Linked DNA regions of Callithrix jacchus. The protein of the gene in region 1 purifies or fractionates together with the protein of each later gene. This does not show direct contact. Links are inferred from orthologs where the notes say so. Each region holds a gene or a part of one and is shown on either strand. Other genes may lie near its edges.

Region 1 (7,582 bases):
TAAAGCAAACTGCAAACTGCAATATAGCATGATCTAATACCAATGACAATAATTGTATGATAAGCACAGTAAAACAATCTGGAAGACTACATCAAATCTCTTTGGAGTCATATCAAGGAGGACTTTCACAGTGTTCTCTACCACTGCAGGATGAATAGTCAACAATGCTGTATTACATGGTGTCCAATGGTGGAGAGCAGGATTACTGAATATTACCAACACAAAGAAATGAAAAATGTTTGAGATGATGGATAAGCTAATTATTCTGACTTAATCACCATACATTATATGTAGCAAAACATAACTATGTAGCCCATGAATATGTAAAATTGTCAACTGAAATAAATAAAATTTTTTAAAGAGGACTTCATAAACTATATTTATACCTCTATAATGTTAAAAATGTTTATAATAAGCATTACTTTTTAAATTTCAGTATAAAGTAAAAGAGGCTATTAAAAATATATTCATTTAAGAAAACTACTAGAAGGTATCATCAAAAAAAATTATTCCCGAATAAAAGCATCTTAAAAAAATAATTTTTTTTTTTTTTTGAGACAGGGTCTGGCCCTGTCAACCAGGCTGGAGTGCAGTCGCACAACCACAGCTCACTGCAGCCTTGACCTCCCAGGCTCAAGCAATTCTCCCATCTCAGCCTCCAGGGCAGCTGGGACCACAGATGCCTACACCACTTAATTTTATTATTTTTATTATTGAACAAGCAAGATCTCACTACATTGCCCAGGCTGAAATGCTATGGTACAATTTCGGCTCACTGCAACCTCTGCCTCCTGGGTTCAAGTGAGTCTCTTGCCTCAGCCTCCTGAGTAGCTGGGGTTACAGGCACCTGCCACCATACCCAGCTAATTCTTGTATTTTTGTAGAGATGGGGTTTCATCATGTTGGTCAGGCTGGTCTTGAACTCCTGACCTCATGTGATCCACCCGTCTTGGCCTCTCAAAGTCCTAGGATTACAAGCATGAGCCACCACGCCCAGTCTAATTTTTGCATTTTTAGTAGAGACAGGTTTTCACCATGTTGGCCAAGACTGCTCACTTCGCCCTCCCTCAGTGCTGGGATTACGCCCAGCCCAAAGTTAACTTCTTAAATGCTTTTTTACACTATCTTGAAAACCAATTCCCATTGTATTTGTATTGTCTTAAACACTGAAATTGTCTCTACCTGAACATTATAAAAGGAAAGAAAATAGATTACAGTCCAAGTATGCTTCCACAAATAGTTAAGATCCAAATGACAGAAAATATCATTAGCATGGTATTTTAGTGGTAGCATTTTGTTGGTGGTAGCATTTTGGAATAATTTCCCTTTTTGAGGGTTTTTTTTTTGGAGCTGGAGTTTCACTCGTCAGCCAGGCTGGAGTGTAATGGCATTGTTGGCTCACCGCAACCTACACCTCCCAGGTTCAAGAGATTCTCCTGCCTCAGCCCCCCAAGTAGCTGAGATTACAGACATGCGCCACCATGCTGGCTAATTTTGTATTTTTAGTAGGGAAATGGTTTCTCCATGTTGGTCTGGCTGGTCTCGAACTCCACCTCCCAAGTGCTGGGATTACAGGCATGAGCCACCACACCTAGCTATTTTTTTTTTTTTTTTTGAGATGGGAGTCTCGCTCTGTCACCAGACTAGAGTGCAGTTGTGTGATCTTGGCTCACTGCAACCTCCTCCACCCAGGTTCCAGCGATTCTCCTGCCTCAGTCTCAAGTAGCTGAGACTACAGGCACAGGCACGACGCCTAGCTAATTTTTTTGTATTTTTAGTAGAGACAGGGTTTCACCATGTTGGCCAGGATAGTCTTGATATCTTGACCTCGTGATCTGCTGGCTTCAGCCTCCCAAAGTGTTGGGATTACAGGCGTGAGCCACCAGCCAAGTTCTTTATTTCTCAATTTTTAATGTGCTTTTCCTGTAAGTTTAGTATATAAAGTATCTTTATATAATGACTCAATAAAATCCTGATTTGCAGTCTCTCCCCAACTTTCTTCAATCTAGAGTTAATAAAACTATTGCATAAAAACAAATATTACCTTAACTTTCACCAGCCTTTTCACAGTCTTAATCTTTGCCTCACAGAAGGCACCTCGGTACTTGGCACTGACATCAGTTCCCACTGTCAGGTAGGCAGGCTCATCCGCCGCCTGGTGAAAAGAACATAAACTGTGAATGTCATTACTATGTCTCCCTGCTCCAACCTCGAGTGTCATTAAAAGATTGTGTTTGAAGCATTAAGAATATTAAAATAACTTACTAGTATCACTGAAAATTTGAAAAATACCCTAAAGCAAACACTTGATCAGCAACTCTTTATTTTACATACTGATGTCCTTATGCGATAAAATGTTTTAAAGTTGTAATTCAAAATTATCGGTGACGAAATACAATGTTTTTCTCCAGATACAAAATTTTTAAAAAATTCTACTATTTATATAAGCAGAAAAATAAGAAATGGCAGGAAAATATTTCATATTACACATATCATAAAATTAAGTTATTCATTTATATCCTCCTGAAAATAAATTTTTTATTATAGAATTATTAAAAATTTTAATAAATAAAATTAAATTTCAAATTAAAATAAATATTGCTACTAAAACTAACACTAAAAATACATAATTGTTCATTGACATAGCTATGTAAAGATAACATCTTTTCATAAGGAGAGTATAATTTGGAAAATTCATTGGCTAAAAGCTGCATTTGAAAGGTTTTAAGTTTCAATTCAGCCAATGAATGCAGATATGAACCCATGGCTCAAGACTCGTAGACATACCTAGTTTACCCCACTAATCTTCTTGGTATAAATATATAAGCATTACTAATAAATATCTACGTTTAGCAAACGGACATGATCAGAATGATACATCGAAAGATGTGAGAAATTTCACTCTACCACTTATTTTAATCTTGATGGTAACAGGATGATTGTTATCTCAATCTGTCATTTTACCTTTTTTTTCTTCCCAGAAGTTAAAGTGTAACCATACAAGTTCAACTTAACATTGTTAAATGCAAAGGTAACAATGTATACTTTGGAGATACATTTTTAAGTAGAAAATGTTTTTATTTTTGTTTTCCAATAAGTTTTCCCAAGTAATATTAAAGAAAGTTAAATACATCATTTACTTCGAGAAAATAGAAAACCAGGAGAAAGTTTGGGAAAATGCTGTGTTTCAGAGCTTAATACACTGAAACAGTAAATAAGATAGGAACTAGGTACCTTTTAAAGTAAGTGCATTTACAAGAAATACAAATTGAATAGGAACGCTTTTGGCAAATAAAAATCTGACCTGAAACGTTCAATGGCCACAGCATTCAAGAATGTTATATGAGATCCTTTCCCTTTAACCATCCACATACTGTTATTTGCAGTCATTCTCAGTAGAATATATATCTTTTTAGGGTCAGAATATGTTTTAAAATATTTACTGTACAGATTTAACTAAAACTATAATATAGTTCAACTTCAAATATTTTATCCACATGAATTCACTAAACACACAGAAGAAATGATACCTTCATTACTTAATCCATGTATTCTTTCTCTTAGAAAATCACATTGGCACTGGGGAAGAAAAAAATTTTCAAAAAATCCCCCAAAGAACCAAAGCAGGACAAAAGCTTTACTTCTGCAAAGGTTGCTGCCAACACAGGAAGTGTTTAAAAATACTATCCTAATGGACAACAACTGAAAGGCTGCTACAGAGAGGGCCCAAACTCCGCATTTAGACACACAGATCATTTCTCACCCATTCAACACATCCTCCTTTGCCGAAACTGCTGCTCAGCAGGGACATCAATTTTGAGTAGCAAACAAATGACATTCCACGGCACTAGTCTCACAACTGGCAGTGTCCAGGGCACGAGGATAGGGGCAGCGTTGACTCCACTTACCTTCATTTTTGTTGGTGATCTGTGGGGTTCCAGCTCAGCGAGCTATCTTTGCAGTCGCTAGAACTACGGGGAGGGAGAAAGACCGGCACAGAATCAGTCAACTGCGGGGAGCGACCAAGGGAAAGAAAGTAAACAAACGCCAGCGGGCGGGGCAGAATTCTCACCGGTCAAGGGACAAGACCCCTCTCCAAGGGCGGACGCAGGATCTGAAGGGGCAGCTAGAACCCCAGCGCGCCAAAGGGCAGCTCGTTCCGCCCCGGAGCTCGCCAGCGGCCCACCGCGCCCCCGCCTCGATGGCCACTCGGACCCGGAATGCTCAACTCGGAGCCCCAGGACAGATAGCTCGGGAAAAGGGCAAGGCGCCGTTCGGGCTTCCCCAGGTCCCCCGCGGAGGCGACCGCCAAGCCTACGCTCCGCTGTCCCCCGGATACCCCGACTTCGGCCCGCGCCCCGCCTCCGCCGCTCGGCCCCCTTGGCCCGCCCCGGGCCCGCGGTGGCGGCAGCGGAGTGTCACGGCGCCATTGCTCTCGTTCCTTCGTTCTGCACCATGTCAGGAAGGAGAAGCGCTCCTTCACCCGAAGGGGCAGGGGCCGCGGCCTTCAGTCGGGAGCCTCCAGAGCCCCGGGAGAACTGCGCGGGGGAGGGGGCGGGGGCGGAGAGGAGGAGGAGGGGAGGTGGCCCGGACAGGGTGTGGGAGGGGAGGGGAACCGCACCGCAGCAGCCGCCGCCTCCTCCCCGCGCCCGCCTCAACTTTTTGTACAGCCCAGAGAGGTATCAGCCCCCAGCCCCTCGAGTCCTGCCACGGACTCCGCAGGGGTGGACGCACCGCAGAGTTGGGGGACGGCTCCTCCAAGCAGCCCGCTTCTACCGCGCGGAAGCAAACTTAGCGGCGCAGCCAGCCCCACAGCCATTTTCCCGGGAACCCGGGGAAGCGGACGAGGAGGCAGCTGCAGCGGCGGCGGCGGTTCCCACAGTTGCTGCCACTGCTCCACGGCTGGCCCCTTCCCTTGCGCTAGCCGCACCACTTGCCTAGCATCCCTCTCCCCACCTCCAAACCTTCCAACTGCACCGGGACCCTGGGCAGCAGCAGCAGCAGCTGCTACTGCCGCTAGGTCCATTCAGTATCCCCCGATTCCCCTCTCCCCACCTACCAACTGCGAGTGAAGTGCGCGCTGTCAGCTCCAGAGTCCTCCGTCCCTCTGACCTCCGTGGGCCCCCGTCCGGGCAGCACCACTCCCGGCTGCGGCGACAGTTCCTGCGCCCGGTTCCCCACTCGCCCCGATTTACTGCCACAATCCACCAAATAACAAGCTGTTGAGCCGACTCGCTTCTACACGAACTCCTATTGGCTGCTCATGACGCCGAAGAGCTTCGGATAGGCCCTCGCTACCTGCCGTCCCCATTGGATGTAGCTCTGAAACTTCATGGATTGGTGCGAAAAACAGCAGGTAGGACATCTTCCACTTATGATTGGTTTTTTCTGAAGACCAACGTTATTGGAGAGTTGGTTATTGAGTAAGCAAGTTCTGAGAATTGATTGGTAGACACGACTCCGGATGTGCTTGACTGTGCACTGATTGGTGAATTGTGGGGTCAGGAAGAGCAGTTCGGCACGAGGATTGGCGGCGGAGTGTCCCATGGAAACGGAACCCAGAATTGCAGCCAGGGGCTTGCACGGGGGCGGGGCAGTGTCTTTCCTATGCGCCTGCGCCAAACCAGCTTCCCGGCGCCATTTTGTCTCGGCAGCGGTGGCCGCAGCTCCATCGCATTTTAGTTTTCTGGCGAGAAGGAAACGGAGTTTTCATCTGGCAGATTCGTTTTTCTGCGGCAGCCATCCACCGTTCCCTCAAGGACAGCACCTAGTTTTGGACGGAGGAGCCGCAGAGCTGTCAAAAGGTCAGTTGGAGGCTGTGGTTGTCCGATTGACTTGGGGGGATGGCGCAGCTCTAGCGGCACCGGCACCGGAAGTAAGGGGGCCGCGGGCAGCCATGGTTTAAAATCAGTTCTTGGCGGCGGGGAGGGGAGAAGGGGTGGGATGAAAGGGGGCGAGGCTTCCTCTCCCGCCCAGAGAAAGAGAGAGAGGTAGAGGAGAGAGAAACCTCTTTCTTGGATGTGATCGTTTGGGCTCTAGAGAATGTGAGAGATTTTCTGGATTCTGTCACTCTCTGAGCAGTTCTTCCTGTCTTTGGAAATGCATTTCGGGGACTTGCCGTATTCTCCACCTGTTTAGCACCAGCTGTGGGAGCCTTTTAAGACAGGGAAGAAGTGGTTCTTAAAAACATCCTGCTTGGAGAGAGCTTTCCGCGTGCTTCTCGCGCGATAAAGCTGTGAGGAAACTGGAGAAAGCGCTGGCTTTCTGCATGCTGAGCAGTTTACTTGCCAGCGCAGACGCTGCTTCTCTGACCTTAGACAAGCGTGTGTGTCACTCTGCATGAGGCTTATGCTACTTTTTGAAAGGAAACAGTGATTTTGCAGGACTGAAAACATCTTAAACACAAGAACCTCCCAGATAAGATAGACGTTGATCTCGTTTTGTTAACATCTTGTGCTTTGTTCGGTGAAAGACACATATTTTTAAATAGTGAAATTGGAATATAAATTGTCTAGTTTTATAGAATGGAATGGTTTTTTAAATGTGACATATCGTCAGTTTTCCACGTGGACTAAATTTTCTCAGTAAGAAAACGTCTTAGCAGAATCAGTTTTTTATTTATAACAGGGATTTTGCTCAAAAGTATTCATTAAGAAAGTGAAATGTATGTTGGTATTTCTAGTGAGTGACCTAGTCACACTGGATAGATGCTAATAATTACCCTGAATATCTGTTTTAAACCGTACTGCTATATTGGTGGAGCTCAAGACTAGAAAATGGTTGCGTGACTTAACAATTACTGGGTTTTTGGCAGTTGTGCTGAAGAAAACAACATCTCAGTGGCAGATATCTCAAAGCATTACTGAGGTGAGTCATAATGTCTCTAAAAATCCTTAGAATTACGGGGGACCATAGAAAAACTTTCTATGGATTAGTAGAGGAATACTAGAATGGACGAAAAGTAGTTGAAAGATGTTTTGTTTATTCAGATTTACATGAGTCTATATAATTAGCTTCCTGATGTAATATTTTAGAGTGAAATCCCAAAATTAGGACATCCTTACGGATTCCTTTACCCATTTATGTGGTTCTCATTTCTGGATTTCGAAGTACCTAATGTTTTTATCATAAAACATGCTTATTTCAGTGGCTCACACCTGTAATACCAGCACTTTGGGAGGCCGAGGCTGGTGTATCACCTGAGATCAGGAGTCCGACACTAGCCTGACCAACATACTGAAACCTCGTCTCTACTAAAAATACAAAAAATTAGCTGGGTGTGGTGGTGGGCACTTGTAATCTCAGCTACTCGGGAGGCTGAGGCAGGAGAATGGCCTGAACCCAGGAGGCAGAGGTTGTGGTGAGCCGAGATCGCACCATTGCACTCCAGCCTGGGTAATAAGAGCGAAACTCCGTCTCAAAAAAAAAAAAAAAATGCATATTTTTGTGGTACTCACCCCGCCTATTTAAAAATTTCTCATGTAGAAAATATTTTGTAAATAGGAATGTTGAGGGGTGAAGCAGTTTTTTAGAAGACCTTCTAAAACAAACAGTATATTACTGAACTTTCCAGGGAGTAAGC
Region 2 (7,832 bases), on another chromosome or scaffold:
TTTAGCTCCGAGAACTGCTTCTCTAGGTCCAGCATCTCACTGACACACTCACAGCGGCGCCGCTCATAGTCCTCATCATCCATCTCTGGACAAGAGGCCAGTAAGGGGTAGCTCTGGAGAGGCGTGGTGGATACCCACGTGTGTGTGCATCTGCATGCGTGTGTAGGGGCTGTGTGTGCATGTGCGTGCTTGTGTGTGTGTGTGTGTGTGCGCGCGCGTCCAGGCTCTGGCAGTCCTCCTCCAGTCTCTGGCTCTGCTCTTGCAGCTCCCCCTGAAGCATGTTGTAAAGCAAGCTGGTGCAATCTTGTGTGTGTGTTTGTGTGTAGACGCTGTGTGCATGTGTGCTTGTGTGTAGAGGCTGTTTGTGTATATGTGTGCATGCTTGTGTGCAGAGGCTGTGTGTGTGTGCATGTGTACTTTGTGGAGGCTGTGTATGTGTGTGCTTGTTTGTAGAGGCTATGTGTGTGTGCGTGCTTGTGTGTAGAGGCTGTGTGGGTGTGCATGTGTACTTGTGTGTAGAGGTTGTGTGCATGTGTGCTTGTGTGTAGAGGCTGTGTGTGTGTGCATGTGTGTAGGGGCTGTGTGTGCGTGTGTGCTTCTGTGTAGGGGTGGTGTGTGCATGTGCATGTGTGCTCGTGTGTAGGGGCTATCTGTGCACGTGCATGTGTGCCTGTGCACAGGGGCTGTGTATGCATGTGTGCGTGTGTGGGAGCTGTGTATTTGTGTAAGGGCTGTGTGTGCTTATGTGTAGAGGCTGTGTGTGCATGTGTGCTTGTGTGTAGGGGCTATATATGCACGTGCATGTGTGTGTGCTTGTGTGTAGGGGCTGTGTTTGCGTGTGTGCTTGTGTGTAGGGGCTGTGTGTTGTGTGTAGGAGCTGTGTGCATGTGTGCTTGTGAGTAGGGGCTGTGTGTGCATGTGTGTAGGGGTTGTGTGTGCATGTGTGTGTGTGTGTAGGAGCTGTGTGTGCATGTGTGCATGTAGGAGCTGTGTGTGCATGCGTGCTTATGTGGAGGGGTGGTGTGTGCATGCGTGCTTATGTGGAGGGGTGGTGTGTGCTTGTGTGTAGGGGCTGTGTGTAGGGGCTGTGCGTGCGTGTACATGCATGCTTGTGTGTAGGGGCTGTGTGTGTGTGTGTGTGTGTGTGCAGGGGCTCACCAGAGCTCTCCTCTTCTGACTCCGTCTGGCTGCCGCTCCGCTCCTCCTCACTCTCTTCCTCCTCCCCATTCATCTCAGCAGCCGAATCACCCTCTGCTTCCATCTCTTCTGTGTCTTTGCTTGGAGGCTGGACAGGCATCTGGACTCTGGGAGAAGGAATGAAGCCATCACTCACAGCTGCCCTCTGTTCAGAGGGGGAAAGAGGCAGTGGGGAGCTGAACCCGACCAGACCCCAGATTGGGACAGCCAGGAAGTGACTGGCCTGGCCACACCTTGAGCACATACTGGGTAATAAGGGTGCAAATGGCCATCTGCACCTCTCACAGAAGCCTGGGAGCTGTGGAAATGCTCCTGCTCTTGGATGTCACTGGTGATCCTAATCCTGGGAATACTGGCCAAGGCTGTGATCCACAGAAAGGAAAGGCCTAGGGGGCACTCTCCACTGCCTATGGAACTGGACCTAAATTTTTATTTTCTCTTTTTGAGACAGTCTCGCTCTGTCGCCCAGGCTGGAGTGAGTGCCGCGATCTCGGCTCACTGCAACCTCCACCTCCTGGGTTCAAGTGATTCTCCTGCCTCAGCCTCCCAAGTAGCTAAGATTACAGGTGCCTGCCACTATGCCCAGTTAATTTTTTGTATTTTTAGTAGAGACAGGATCTCACCATGTTGGCCAGGCTGGTTTCCAACTCCTGATCTTGTGATTCGCCCACCTCAGCCTTCCAAAGTGCTAGGATTACAGGCATGAGCCACCACACCCAGCCAATTTTCATTCTTTTTTTTTGAGACAGAGTCTCACTCTGTCACCAGGCTAGAGTGGCATGAGTTCGGCTCACTGCAACCTCCACCTCCTGGGTTCAAGCAATTCTCCTGGCTCAGCCTCCTGAGTAGCTGGGATTACAGGTGTGTGCCACCATATCTGAACTGGATCTACATTTCTGACCGGGGCTTTCAAGGTCTTTCACAGACTGCACTTGCCCTCCCGGTCCAGCTCCTTCATCCCACCATCTAACGGCCAGTGCTTGCACTTTCACTTTCTGCCCTCTGCCTCAGCTGTTCCTTCTCCCTATAATGCCCTCAGCTTCTCTTCTGGATACCATTACAATCCCCTTGTCTTTCACTGTGCTCTGGGTCAAATCCCATTTCCTTCTGCCTCCTCTAGGACCTCAGGTCATCAGTGCTCCCCTCTCTCTTTTGTGTCTTCAGCTTCTCCCTCTTAGCAACCTCCTTCCCATGAAACTTTCAATGTGCTTGAGTATTTTCTACCATTAACAAAACACAGAAACACAAAACCTCACCCTTCCACCTGACTGCTCCCTGTCTGCCAGTTCAGTTATACTTTTCAAGGTTTCATGCACACTGGCTGTTCCTAGTTTCACCTTCCACTTGTTCGATGTGTTTCTGTACCCATCGATCTCAGCTGAAACTGATCCTGTACCATTAACCAGTGACTTCCTTATGGGTAATGACAATATTTTTCAGTGCTTATTTCAATTGTCTGCTCGGCAACACTGAACACTGGTAAGCATTCTTTTACTGACTCATCTAACATGTATTGAACATCTAATATATGCTAGGTACTGTCAGGCACTATGGTATGCAGGGGCCCCAAGTGTGACTGTCTTTGACCTCACGGAGTTTACAAGTTCTTGGGAGACAGGGGCAAAGGAGCAGACTATAACTCTGGTATGAGGAGAGTTAAGACCAGGGTATAAGGGAGGGGTATGTAACCAGGACCTGAAGCCTGATGCAGTAGGGAGGGCTTCTAGATGAAGATGGACCAGCTGGGTGAGCTGTGCTGATTGAGTGAGGGAATATTCCAGATCGAGTTAGTAGCAAAGACCCAGAATAAGAGAAGGAAAGCAGCTGGGGTACATGGGTCTAAATCTCAGTGAGAAATCTGAGCTGCAGAGGTTTGGTCATCGGCCTACAGCAAGTTCTTCATGCCACAGGAGAAGGTGCAAGTATCAAGGCAGAATGTGTGTGGTCAGAAGACATCCACAATGGGACTCCCAGGGTCACCAAAGAGGCAGATGAGGAGACTCCTACAAAGGCAGAGGCAAACCCGAAGTCTTGGAGAAAGAATTTCAGAAGGAAGCCAAGTACTTCCCAGCAGTAATTGTACCGATAGTGCCAAGTACTGCCAAGAGATCACCCAAAAGGAAGAATAACCAGTCCTCTCAGCAGATAAGCTCTCGGCCCCCTGCAGGTTCTATTTCGCTGTGATATTCTTCCAGCTTCTCTGGACACTGCTTTGTAGTCCTTTAGAACAGTGCAGACAGCACTCCCTCCAGGAAGCTTTATTTATATCTCCTATTTGCCCATTCTCCCGTCTGTCCTCCCAATCAGCCTATGAGCCTCATTAGGGCAGGGGCTGCACATGCGTCTTATTTGCCTAGCATAGTACTAGCTCACTTGATGACTGGAGGATTTGCAAATACAAATTTAACAACAACAACAACAACAACAAAATTGTGAGGCAGAGATTAGCTTTTACTTTTTGGTAGTCCCAGGTCCCTGTAATGGTAGCAAACTGTCCTTGACACCGATTCAAGTTGTGCATTGTAAGGCTGGCCTAGGTGAGCGTTCACATTCCTCAACAATTTCACTAATGACCTCAACCTGACCTGAAAAGCTCAGTTCTCCAAGCCAGTTCCCAACATTTGCAATGCCTCTTCACTGTTAGTATATTCACTTTGTAAGACGCAGCGTAAGTCCTATCTCTTCCAGAAGCCTTTCTCTCCTCCCGCTGGTTCTGATTATAAGTGAGTTAAGTCACAACCTTCCCTCCTTGCCCCGGGTGCAAAAAACAGGTAACTATTCCTACTCTGAGTGTTGAAGAGCTCGCAGGTGGTAAGGGATGGAAAAGCACATTGTAAAGCGCTGTACACAGGCAATTTATCTTTTCAGAATGGCAGCTCCTCCGGGGCAGGCGCCCAGGGAAGGCAGACCCTCCCCACTCTCACACAGGTCAACCCAACTTTTCCGCAGCGCCCAGGGAGCCTCCTGCTCCCTTCTAGATGAGCCGGCACGGGCCGGAACATTCCTGGCTGGCCCGCGGCCCAGCACGCGTCAGGTCGGTTAAATCGCTGCTTCGGGCTCGGAGGAGGAGATTGTGCCGGCTCTGCTGGACTAACCCGAGAGGCTGAACAAAAGCCATGCATGGCGATACGCACCGCGGGGACTGGGGCCTCTGGCCTCACGACCGAGATTCCCTGAGAGGTGCCCGTGGTTGCCGGTACCGGCTGCTGCCGCCGGCCTCCCGTAAGACCTGCGCGGCTCCCTCTTCTCGAGGAGGCAGAGCCTCGGTGCTTCCGTGTGCTTCATCAGGACGCGACCGTCGACGGTGTTCACAATTGGACAGTTGGGTCCCGAGGCATGCTGGGATACCGCGGGCCGGTCTCCATAGCAACCGGCCGACGTTCACGCAGGCCTTTGGCCTGCAAGGAAGGCCCTGAGGTTTCAGTGCTTTGCAGGCGGCGACCTTCGTCCGTGGCCACCTCCCCACCGTGTGCAAGGGGAGAACCCGGCCCCGATCCCTCCACCCCCAGCTCAAGAGAGTAACGGAGCCAGCTGTGGGTGTGAACACTCATTTATTTACACATTGTCATCGGTAGGCACATACTCAGCCCGGCCTGTTGAAGGGACAGATCTGAGGCTGTCACCCATGGGGCCTGCAGACCCTGCCCTCCTTCAGAGCTCCTGAGGCCGAAGGCCTGAGAGAACCAGGAATTTTAGGCTTCTGCCCAAGAGCTAAGAACTAAATTTTATGCCTTCATCTGATTTCTTTCCAAAAAGTCCATTTCATTAAGTACTCAGCCTTCTTAGCTCCATCCCATTCATACTTTTTGCTCTCCTACCCACCCAAGATTGTTAATAACAATAATAATAATACTGTGATAATATTAATACTTCACATTTGTACGAAGCTTACAGAATGTTTTCACATATAGCGTCTCATCTGAGCCTCCCAACAGTTCTGTGAGGTAGGTATTTTCACCTCCCTTTTTACAGACAGGGTAACTGAGGCCCAGAGAGGTAACGGGATTTACTCAAGGCCACACAGCTAGTTAGTGGTAAAGCTAGGACTAAATCCCAGCACCCCATATTCAAGTCCAGTGTTTCAACACCACAGCTACCTCTGTAAAGTAGAGTCACATTTCTTACCCCAGTCAGGCCTAAGGGTGGCCTGAGGAGCCAAGAGGCTAACTTCTCAGACCAGGGGAGGGAAGGGCTCAGCAGCGTCGGGGAGAGTTGGGGTACTTGGCCTTCAACTCCTGTTTGAACTGGCGATAAAGGATCTTATTGTGCTGATTTTCAGCCTCCTTTTGGGGATGGAACTTCAACGCTTCTTTGAAGCCCTTATGAACCAAGAAACCTTCGTTCAGGACCTCAAAATCAAACCCCACCATGTGCAGCTCGCAGGCCTGTAGGGGGAAAGACGGGTCAGCAAAATTTGATGACATTTACAGGGCTGAGACTGACTTCCCTCAAGCCACAGTCCAGCATCCTCACCCCTCTGGAAGCATCCTGGATCTTCCATACTATCCACTCACCTACTAAACTATGATCCCTCCTGCTTCACTGCCTCTTTTCCATCCAGGGCCACTCCTCGTAACTCCCTGATCCCACCACCCCTCCTGCCCCAACCCCTGCCCTCTCCCTTATGAGCACCTGGCTGATTCGGTTGAAGCCGTACTGCCGAAAGCGCTCGTCAAAGGTGGGCACCTTGCCTCCTGCCACGTAGAATGGCTCCCAGGGGTCCTGCCAAGGCACCACGTAGGCAGGCCGCAGCAGGCTCTCTTCTGGCAGGTTGACCCAACGGGAATAATTGGTGGGTGCCTGGCAGGGGGTGCACAGCCCATAATAGAAGGGCCGAACCTCGCCCACCTGGTAGAGCTGCACCAGCTCGTTTTTGTTCATGGGCATGCGGCGGGCTCGTCGGATCTCGAAGGCAGGCACGACGAGCGCGGTGCCTCCCCACTGGTTGCTCTGATCCAGCATTTCCCGCAGGCCTCTCCACAGTCCCTCGCTGGGCACCATGTCCACATCGATCACCAGGGCATAGTTGGCCCCCTCACGAGCCAAATTCCTCAGCAGATTATTAGGGTAGGAGACATTGGTGCCTAGCGCATAATTAATCCCGGGCTGTGCCACCCTGGCTAGCTTGTCAAAGACCTCCTGACAGGACCGCAGCAGGGCAAACTCCCCTGGCTCCCGGGGGTCAGGCACAGCTGCCTCGTAACGCGAGGGGCACACGAGGTGCATGGCAACCCTGGCGCGCATGTCGGGACAGTGGCTGCTTAGCGCGTAGGCCAGCACCGTGGCCAGCTGCGCCTCCTCCTTGGTGGCCGCGAACACCGACACGGACAGCGGGCCCTCCCAGCGCTCCAGCAGACCCGACAGGTGCAGCAGGTTGTCCACGCTGGCGTGCGTGGCCAGGATCACATCGTTGGGGTCCAGGGTCGTCTTCAGCAGGCCCCTGTAGACGCGGTAATCGCCGCTGGCGTCCAGGACGCCTCCGGAGGCCAGCGCTGTGCGGAGCTGGGCCTTGACCTGGTCCACGGACCGTGGGGACGGGGGAAAGAACTCAAAATATTGGTCTTGCTCCTCCTGCCCATGTAGTCCGGACAGCAGCGACAGGTAGAGCAGCTGCAGCATCGCCACCAGCATGAGCGCGGCCAGCAGCAGCTGGTAGAAGGCGCACCGGATGGCGTAGGACATCTGCATGGTTCTCCGGGCTCGGGGCGCGCAGCAAAGACCACCGGCCACAGACTACGCCAACCGCCGCAAGCCCGGATTTACCGCAGCCTGCCGAGCGCAGCCGAGACGAGCCGAGGCTAGCCGAGCCCCGCGCACCGCCCCGCCCGCCGCCTGCCACCGCCCCCAGCCCCAGAAGCGCCAGCTCGCCCCCTGCGAGGGGGGAGGAGCCACGGCCTCACCGCCCGGCCGCGCGCGGTGCAGATGTCCCGCCCGCCCGGGCCCCGCCGGCTTCCCGGGACGCGCGCTCCTTCTTCCCCGCCGGCGCGCGCACCCCGGACCGAGCGCGCCCTGAACGTCTGGCGCGCTCGGCCGGACTCTGAGGAACCCGCGGCAGAGCTCGGCTGCAGCATGGTGAAGGATGGCGCGGGCTCCCGGCTGAAAGGAAATCAAAACGCTCCTTTCCTCCCGCGGCTTCTCTTTTCCCCGGGTCCGAGGAGGTTGGCGTTGCCAGGTGGGTGGCAGTGCTCGGAAGGTGCGGAGGAGATGAGAGATAAGGGAATGTGGAAAGAGCTGTTCCACGTAGGACGAGGTGGCCGAGTGGTTAAGGCGATGGACTGCTAATCCATTGTGCTTTGCACGCGTGGGTTCGAATCCCATCCTCGTCGGCCCTATTTTATAGGGGGGAAAAAGCACCTAAATTTTCACTTCTGCCTGTTTGGAGCAGCAAGCTAGAGAAAACTGAACTGGGGGTGCGAGTGGGGAAGGCATCTTAATTTTCACATTCTGCCTGTTTAGAGCAGCAAGCTGACGAAAACTAAACTGGGGGTGAGAGTGGAATTCTATCCCAAGTCTCTCTGGTCTATCCACCACGCATCTCCTGCCTGCTCCTACTGCAGGTGTCTGTAGCTCTGGGCTACAAATGGACAAAAAACCAAAGGTGTTTTCTTTCTCTTTATAAAGAGGGCCCAGGGGTT

What was found.
Region 2: the proteins of ARID4A (region 1) and BRMS1 purify together in Homo sapiens (affinity purification with western blotting; 3 studies listed by BioGRID and IntAct, with this or other methods). This does not show direct contact. The link is inferred for Callithrix jacchus from reciprocal best matches to the Homo sapiens genes ARID4A and BRMS1.

Annotation. Positions count from the first base shown.
Region 1 is NC_133509.1:92,949,828-92,957,409, reverse strand, and holds the start of ARID4A (AT-rich interactive domain-containing protein 4A), read right to left. Parts: upstream 5,217-7,582; 5' UTR 5,060-5,216; intron 4,543-5,059; exon of another isoform or gene 4,073-4,542; intron 3,972-4,072; 5' UTR 3,915-3,971; coding exon 3,909-3,914; intron 2,156-3,908; coding exon 2,045-2,155; intron 1-2,044. Other genes in the region: uncharacterized protein LOC100895059, read left to right, coding at 5,546-5,804, 6,815-6,867.
Region 2 is NC_133511.1:123,420,744-123,428,575, forward strand, and holds the start of BRMS1 (breast cancer metastasis-suppressor 1), read right to left. Parts: upstream 4,463-7,832; 5' UTR 4,332-4,462; intron 2,625-4,331; exon of another isoform or gene 1,305-2,624; 5' UTR 1,298-1,304; coding exon 1,159-1,297; exon of another isoform or gene 86-1,158; coding exon 1-85. Other genes in the region: B4GAT1 (beta-1,4-glucuronyltransferase 1), read right to left, coding at 5,391-5,582, 5,830-6,885; uncharacterized protein LOC118145537, read left to right, coding at 7,120-7,369. UniProt on the Homo sapiens protein: Transcriptional repressor. Down-regulates transcription activation by NF-kappa-B by promoting the deacetylation of RELA at 'Lys-310'. Promotes HDAC1 binding to promoter regions.